2 linked regions of the Oryctolagus cuniculus genome follow. The protein of the gene in region 1 interacts with the protein of each later gene in a pairwise test. Links are inferred from orthologs where the notes say so. Each region holds a gene or a part of one and is shown in the gene's direction. Other genes may lie near its edges.

The links. The genes of interacting proteins can lie anywhere in the genome.
Region 2: the proteins of RBPMS (region 1) and FOXS1 interact in a two-hybrid assay, tested with the Homo sapiens proteins (2 studies listed by BioGRID and IntAct). The link is inferred for Oryctolagus cuniculus from reciprocal best matches to the Homo sapiens genes RBPMS and FOXS1.

What each region holds. Positions count from the first base shown.
Region 1 is NC_091433.1:80,425,865-80,429,606, forward strand, and holds the start of RBPMS (RNA-binding protein with multiple splicing), read left to right. Parts: upstream 1-1,309; 5' UTR 1,310-1,591; coding exon 1,592-1,657; intron 1,658-3,742. Other genes in the region: collagen alpha-2(I) chain-like, read right to left, coding at 425-1,195.
Region 2 is NC_091442.1:25,886,215-25,889,956, forward strand, and holds the start of FOXS1 (forkhead box protein S1), read left to right. Parts: upstream 1-1,234; 5' UTR 1,235-3,742. UniProt on the Homo sapiens protein: Transcriptional repressor that suppresses transcription from the FASLG, FOXO3 and FOXO4 promoters. May have a role in the organization of the testicular vasculature.

The sequences.
Region 1 (3,742 bases):
AGGCCAGTCAATAAATAGAAACTGTGATAGGTGCTGTGCAGGAAGGAATTCCTGGGAGCGGGAGGCGGCGCTGAACGAACTAGTTGCGAGTTGTAAGGTTATACATTTGTAGCAGTCAAGTTTAGACGCATAACTGGACCCATAAGACAAAAGGCTCCAGGCCCAGAAGAAATGGAAATTTTCTTCATAATGATGTTAGCATCCATGTTGTAAGCCTACAGCGGGCAGGAGGGTGTGAGGCGTGCCCCCCACACTCCGGGGTAACTGCACCCATTTCACGGACGAGAAAATAAAGTAGGCAGTCCCCCAGAGGCGCGGCGGGAACACTAGGCGGGCGCCTCGCTTTGCCCGAATGCCTTGACCCTCCAGGGCTGCCTGCCAAGACTCGTTTAGAAAAGTGCCCACTGTGTGCCGGGGGGCTCATTTAAACAGCCGCGGGATTAGCCGGATAAACAGGGCTCGGTCTCCTTTGCCAGGAAGGCGCTCCCCAAAGAGAGGCCAGGTGAACAATCAACTCCAGAGCGGGCCGGCGGGGGGCTCGCGGGGGGCTCACGGGGGCCCGGCTGTCCCCGGCGTTCCTCCGTCCCGGGCCTCCAAGCCCTCGCCCCGAGGGCGCGACCCGCGTCTCAGCCCCTACCGGCGAGGAGCCCGGGGGCGCGCAGCTCCCTCGTGGAAAGCAGGCAAACAAAAGTGGCACATCCCAGCCCCCGGTCCGCGCACGGCCAGGGCCCGGCTCCCCGAAGCCCCCTCTCCGAGCCGGGGCGCGGGGGACGCCGCGTGCGCCCGGGGACCCGGCTCTCCAGCCTCCCTTGCTCAGCCCGCCCGGCCCTCGCTCTGCCGTCGAGCCGGGGCCGGGGTCGGCCGCTTCCGCTCCGCGCCGCCGCCCCTCCCCGGCGCGCGCCATCCGGCCCGGGCCGCGCCGACTCCGCGGCCCCTCCTCCCGCCGGGGGGCTTCGGCGGCCCCCGTCCCGTCCCTGCGGGCTGACGGCGGCAGCCCACGTCCAGGGAGGGCGGAGGGAGGCGGAGAGGGAGGGGAGAGCGGAGAGGGGAGGGAGGGAGGCGAGAGAAAGGAGCTGCAGCGGACTCGGACTTCCCAAAGCCGGCCAGGAGCGCGCAGCCAGCGGCTCTCCGCGTCCCAGCGTCCCAGCCGCGGCCGGCGCCTCCTCCTCCTCCTCCTCCTCTCCGGCCGCCCCATCCCTTCCTTCCAGCCTCGCTCTGCTCCGGCAGCGGCAGCCCCCAGCCCCAGCTCTCCGCGCTCACTCCTGGGACGCGCGCCCTCGCCCCATCCTCTCTTCCTCCCTCCCTCCCTTCCTTCCTTCCCTCGCGCCCGCCCTCCCGCCCCAGGTCTCCCTCCCGGTCGCGATTGTCTCCGCGCCCCGCTCGGCCGGCCCGCGCCCGCGCCCTGCCCGCACTTCCTCCCCGAGTCGCCCGCCGCCGTCGTCTGCGCGCCGCGGGAGCCCAGCCCGAGCCTTCGCAGCCCCGCGGCGCCCGCCCGAGGCAGCCCCGGCGCCCCGGGGAAGGCAGAAGCGGGCGAGCGCGCCCTCGCCCAGCCCCGCGCCCCAGCCCTGCCCGGCGACGAAGGACCGGGAAGATGAACAACGGCGGCAAAGCCGAGAAGGAGAACACCCCGAGCGAGGCCAACCTCCAGGAGGAAGAGGTAGCGGTGGCCCGGGCGGGCGGCGGGGCGCGTCCGGGGGCCGGCGCGCCGTGGCCCCGGCTGGGTGCGTCTCCAGGGCGCGGGTTCTGGGGGTGTCCGCGCACCCTGCGCTGCGTGACTTGCAGAACTTTGCGGAGACACCCTCCAAGTAGAATGCTCGGCTTTGTGTGCCCGGGATTTTAAAAGCGGAATCGAGAGCTGACTCCTGGGTGACCTCAGGTTACTGGGACCCGAGGGTCAGGGCTTCTCTGAGCGCCAGGGGCTGGAAGCCGGCGGGAGGGAGTGCGTGTGTCTGTGTGCGTGCGTGCGGGCGGCTTTGGGAAGGAGTTGGGGAGAAGCTCTGTTAGGGGCTGGCGCTGGCGCCGGTGTGAAAAGTTCTTGGCCAAGTCTCTCCGGAGCCGGGGCGTGTGTGGATTCATCGATAACTCGCCGCCCGCGAGGCGGGAACCCCCGAACCCCGGGCTGTGGTAGACTTCGGGGGCGGGGTGTGGATGTGGGGAGCAGAATGAGAGGGGCCGAAAGCGTCGCTCCCGGAATGCTGGCCAGGACGCTGCGGTAGGACTTTGATTTGGGTTGTGCGTCCGGGATCCTGGAGGGGAGACAGCTTGCAGTTGGGGGGCACTTGCCTTTGGCAAACGCGAAGCCGAGGAAGTGTGGGGAAGGGGTGTGCGGGACGCACGTTCCAGAACTCCGTAGTTAGGGGATGATTGTGGGGTTTCTCAAATGACTGTTCCCGCAGCCCCAGAAACAGTGCCTCCGCTCACTTGCTGAGTTCCCTCGAAGTTGGGGCTCTCAGCCTTCCGCCAAGAGCTCGCGCGCGTGTGTGCGGGAGCCAGAGAGCGTGCGGTGCGCGCGGGCGGCGAGGCGGTGCCGCAGCGCCGGGCCCGAGAGTTGGAAGTGGACCTCGTGCAGGAATCCCTCAGCCCTTTTAAGTCGTCCACGTGTAAAATTGGAGCTATTTAATTAAATAGGAGAGACAGGCGAAGACCATGCAAAACAATGCAAAAGGTAGCGCCGTGGAGCAGCGTTGTCACCTGGGTGAGTTAGTAAGCTGAGAATTGGCTCCTGGAGGAAATCGCCTGTTTTATGACAAAGCTTTATTTTGAAAAGCTGTTTGCCCCTTCTTGTTTGGTGCCTGCAAATGTAGGACTACTCGTGACAGTGCTTTTAAAAAGACACCAAGGCTGGAATTCCAAATTCCACTTTCTGGCTTCTCTACTGTTTAGTTTATTTTCCCTGTCCTTTAAAAACTGAAAAATGATGGCAAATTTGCATTTTCAGGAATTGGCATGTGCAGCTAATTCACTTAACCCGTCAAGAGAATCATTGCTTCAGAAACCTTTCTGTTCCACTTAGAGTGGCAATCTGGCCGCTCCTAAGTGTGAGAGTGTATCTTGTGAAACAATCTTTCTCTGTTAACCAGTTGAGGAAACTTGTAGTTAAGAGAAAGTTCATCAGACTGCAGATTTTTTTCTTTTTCTTTTGGTAGTAGCAAAATGGGCTCAGGTGTCTCGAAAACCATATCCAATTAACTTAAAATCGAATGGACGACAGAAGTCAGATTTTTCTCTTGACCCATGCCAGGTGAACTGCCGCCAGGATTTGCCTGGATGGGCTCGGTTATCGCGAGGTTGTGGGTCCCTGTGATCAGAGGCCATCCAAGTCGCAGGCATTGCTTCTAGTTTCCCCAGCAGCGTTCCTTTCCGGGTGGGAAAGGCGTGGGCTCCTCCAGGTGTAGGTCTTTTTAGCAAAACGCTTGTTACTTAAAAAATAAGACAGGAGGTAGGAAGGTTTCAGAACCCAGGTTGTATAAGAAGCGAGAGTATACACTGCGGATACACCCTGACCAGAGAGGGTTTATGGTTGACATTCTGGTTTTGAAACACTAACCTCCTCTCTCTTTCTCCCCCTCCCCTTTTTTTTCCTAACCCTGAAAGCCACAAGTTAAATAAATATGGCATTTGGTGGGTGCCATTCAGTGAGCTTAGCATTGCACAAAATCCCACTGCACTGGCCGCTTTGCCTGCCCACCCAGAGGAGCAGCGGTTTGTTTTCAGAAAGCTTTGGCAATGGGCCGCAGGAGAC
Region 2 (3,742 bases), on another chromosome or scaffold:
GGGGTTTCATTGCACAGTTCTCCAGATACAAACCTCGGCCATCACTGTCTATCCCATCACCTCATTTATTTTCTCTTTTACTTATCACACTCCATCACCTGGAAAGTGTTTCTGATTAGCTGATTGCAGCTGGCTTTTCCCATTAGAGCAGGGACCATATCTGTTTTATTCCTCATTCAATCCTCAGTGTTAGCTAAGGCATAGAATATAGAAGGAGATTGAAGACTATGAGACGGGTGGATAGGAGGAAAGCAGGGAGGGAGGGGAGATGGAGAGAAAGAGGGGTGGGAGACAGGCAGTCCGTCCTCCCCCTGCATGGCACCAGCCCCCTCCCCAGCTCCCCTGTCGTGTGCAGGCCTGGGCCGTGTACCAGGGCAAGCACCTGGAGGGCCCTGACCAGCACCCTCCACGAGGCAGACTCGGCTCCTCGGTGCTCTCAAGAGTGCCGACTTCCGGAGGCGCCCGAGTGCAGCCAGTGGGCATCTCTGTCCCCACAAGGCCTCCCACATTGTGTGTGACGCTGCCCGTGGCCCAGGTCCCATCCCGCCCCTGTAGGCAGTAGCTGAGGGCGGCTCTCTGGGCAGTAAGGACCTCACTTTGTCTACTTACAACAGGAAATGGTGGACTCGTTGAGCTTAAATCCACGGGCTGATAAATTCAGGGCCCTTAGACCATTTGTAAAGCAGGAAGCTAAGGCTCACTGACCCGTGGCCTTTCCTGAGGTCACACAGGGAGCTGGGGCACTCCTACTGGGGGTCAGCAGTCCCCAGGGTCTGTGCTGCTCCTCACACAAAAGGCACTTCCCTGATCCAGCCAGCAGCCCCGGGGACGTGACTGAGCCCCACCTGCAGGACAGACCAGGTCGGAGTGTCCTTCCAGTCCTAAGACTTGCCAGCTGTCACCTCCCACGCAAGCCACTCCCTGGCCCTACCCCTCCACCACTGATCCCGCCCCCATCAGCTCCCCCCCCCCCGCCAACTCTGCTCCCCCCTCCCACCTCTGCCACTTCCCCCCTGTGCCCATCACCCCATCACACTCAGCTCCCAGATGGCCCATGGGTCCGTCACTGTGCCCCCTGCCCCTTGCTCACCCCTGGCTCCAGCAGGCACTGCTTCCCTTACCCCATAGGCTCTGCCTCCCCCCACCTCTCCTCTCATCTGAGGTTTGCGGCTCAGTCTGTGGACCCGGCCATCAGTTCTGGTCCCTCCCACTGTCCCTGGGGCCCCTCCCACAGCTTTGTCCCCATCTCCATCATCACTAGATCCTTCTCCACATTCACCCTGCACTGTGCTTCCCAGTACGGCGACCATCACCTCCAACACTTCCCCCCCAATTTCTTTCCCTCCCCACTGGGGACAGTGTTGAGACCTGAAACTTCCCCAGCTGCGCTTCAGTGCGCCCAGACCCCTCCCTGCCCTGGGCGAGGCAGGGCGGGCCGGCGGGGACAGTCTGGGAACTCCTGCGGCCCCCAGGTCTCCTCTCACAGTCAGGATCCTCTGTCCCAGTGCTCACAGAGGGTGACAACAAGCAGCAGCCCCTCAGGCTGGCCCCGCAGGGCCCCTCCTGCCAGGCCCCCTGGCTGACCCAGCAAGGACGGCCCCACCCACCTGCCTCCTCCCCATTCTCCTGGATGGAGGTGGGGAGGAGTCAGGGGGAGGGGCCCTAACCGCTCCCCTACTTCCTGGGGTACCAGGCATGGGCCACCAGACACCCCTGTGGCGACCCTGGTGAGGCATCTAATGGCCCACCCTCCCCTCTGACAGCGGCTGAACTGGGGAGGGCTCAGAGTGGGGCAGCCGGCCTCCGTCTCCCATCCACATGCAGACCCCCTGGAACAACCCCTTAACAGCTAACCTTGGCAGAGGGCTTCGTGTATGGGAGGCATCCTTGGGAGTGCTCTCCAGGGCCGGTGAGGCTGCTTGTGGTTACCGCGCTGGACCACGGGTGGTTTATGTTGGAAGCTGTTATGTAGTGCTGCTGCTGTTGCTACTACTACTATTGCTACTACAAGAGTCACTGCCATCACTGATGGGGAGGGCGAGGAGGACCTGTGGGTCGCCTGACCCGTGGTGGAGGGGGTGAGGAAGGGAAACCTCGCCAAGGTGGCCGCCCTCCTTCCTCGCCCCGCAGATGGCTGGCTGCCCTTGCGGCTCCGCCGAGCGCTGCCTTCTGAGTCCGCTGGGGCCGCCACCACGCGCTGCGTAGGTCCGCTTTGGCAGCCGCTGTTCCGTGCGCACCTGCCACGGCACCTGTGGCCGCACCTGAAGTGCGGGGTGCTGCCGTGGGTGGCGCCCGAGGGTCCGTTCGCCACGCGCCTGTGCCAAGGCAGCGTGTACTGGCGCGGCCCGCTTGTCCTGCACGGAGCGCAGCGCAACGAGCTGGAGCGCGCGTGCGGCCCGCCAACTGCCCGGCCCGCGCTGCTGTCCCAGCGGGGAGGGCGCGGCCGTGCGGTGGCGGGCGCCGCGGGCGCAGGGGAATGAGCTCGAAGGTGCTGGGTATGGGGTGGGCATCGAAACAAAGGACATGGCCCGGAAGCACGGGGAGTGGGAAACAATGTGGGCCCCCAGAGGTCGGGCACAGCTCCGGAGGTCGGCAGGCGGGGGTGGGCACAGAAAGGCGGGGCAGAAGCCCGGGACCTGGGTACCCGTGTGGGCGCAGGGGCGCCCTGCAGGGTGCTGGGCACGAGATCAGCACAAGGCAATGGGAGTGGGCATAGGGGACATGCGCTCGGATCGATCAGCACAGACGTGGGACACCAGCCAGACGTGGAGACAGGGAACTGGGCCTGGCGCAGGAAGGGGCGTGAGCACGGGCCGGGCTCCAGGCGTGTGGGGGTGACCGGTAGTTGACCCAGCCCGCACGCGTCACTGCCCGCAGAACTGCGAGCCCACCTGCAGGATGGCCACCCAGGGCCCGAGGCCAGACGGCGGCCCGCTGAGCGCAGCCCTCCGCCCAAGCCGGGAGCCACGCCCCCGTCCTCGCTCCTCGGCCCCGGGCGCCGCCCCTGGGCAACCTTTGGTTTCTGCGGGCCTGCCTGGACAATGGGCCGTGGCTAAGGCTAGAACTGCCGCGGCCCTCCCTGCTCCTGGCAGGCCGAGCCGGGGCCCCACCCCAGCACCCCACCTCCCGGCGCGGCTGTCAGCGGCGCCCCGGCCGCTGCAGCCTCTCCTACCTGCGCCCGGGGCTCGGGGCTCCCCGTACTGGTGGCTAGGGCCGCCGGGGGAGGAGGCCAGCGGAAGTGGACGGTGGCCCTCGGCCTCCCGGGCGGGCGCAGGGACGGAGCTGCCCGTGAGGCCCCAGATGCGCGGCAAGTGGGAAACAAGACTTGGGCTCTCGCTCAGGCCCAGCGTGCCACCGGCGCCTCACTTCCTGCCGGCCTCAACCAGCCACGGAGTTCGTCAGGGCATTGCTTACAGCTGGGCTGGATCCCAGGACTGGATCCACAGGGTTCACAGCGCGGCCCGTCGGTGACAAAATTCCCAGGCCGCAGACAGGCTCGGCGTTTGCAGACCCTTAAATAGAGAACTCAGCCCGAACCCCGGGCACAGGACGCTGGCCAGGGAGCCAGCAGCGGCTGCAGGCGCTGTCTTTGTTAGAGCCGAGGCCGGCTCCAGCGCAGGGGCCACGGAGGGAGGGCAGCCCGTGCCGCCCGGCTGTGAGCGTCAGGGATCCCGCGGTAAGCAGGAGAGGGCACCTACACCGCCCCCTGCCGGCCAGTAGAGAAACTGCGCTCCACCGCGGG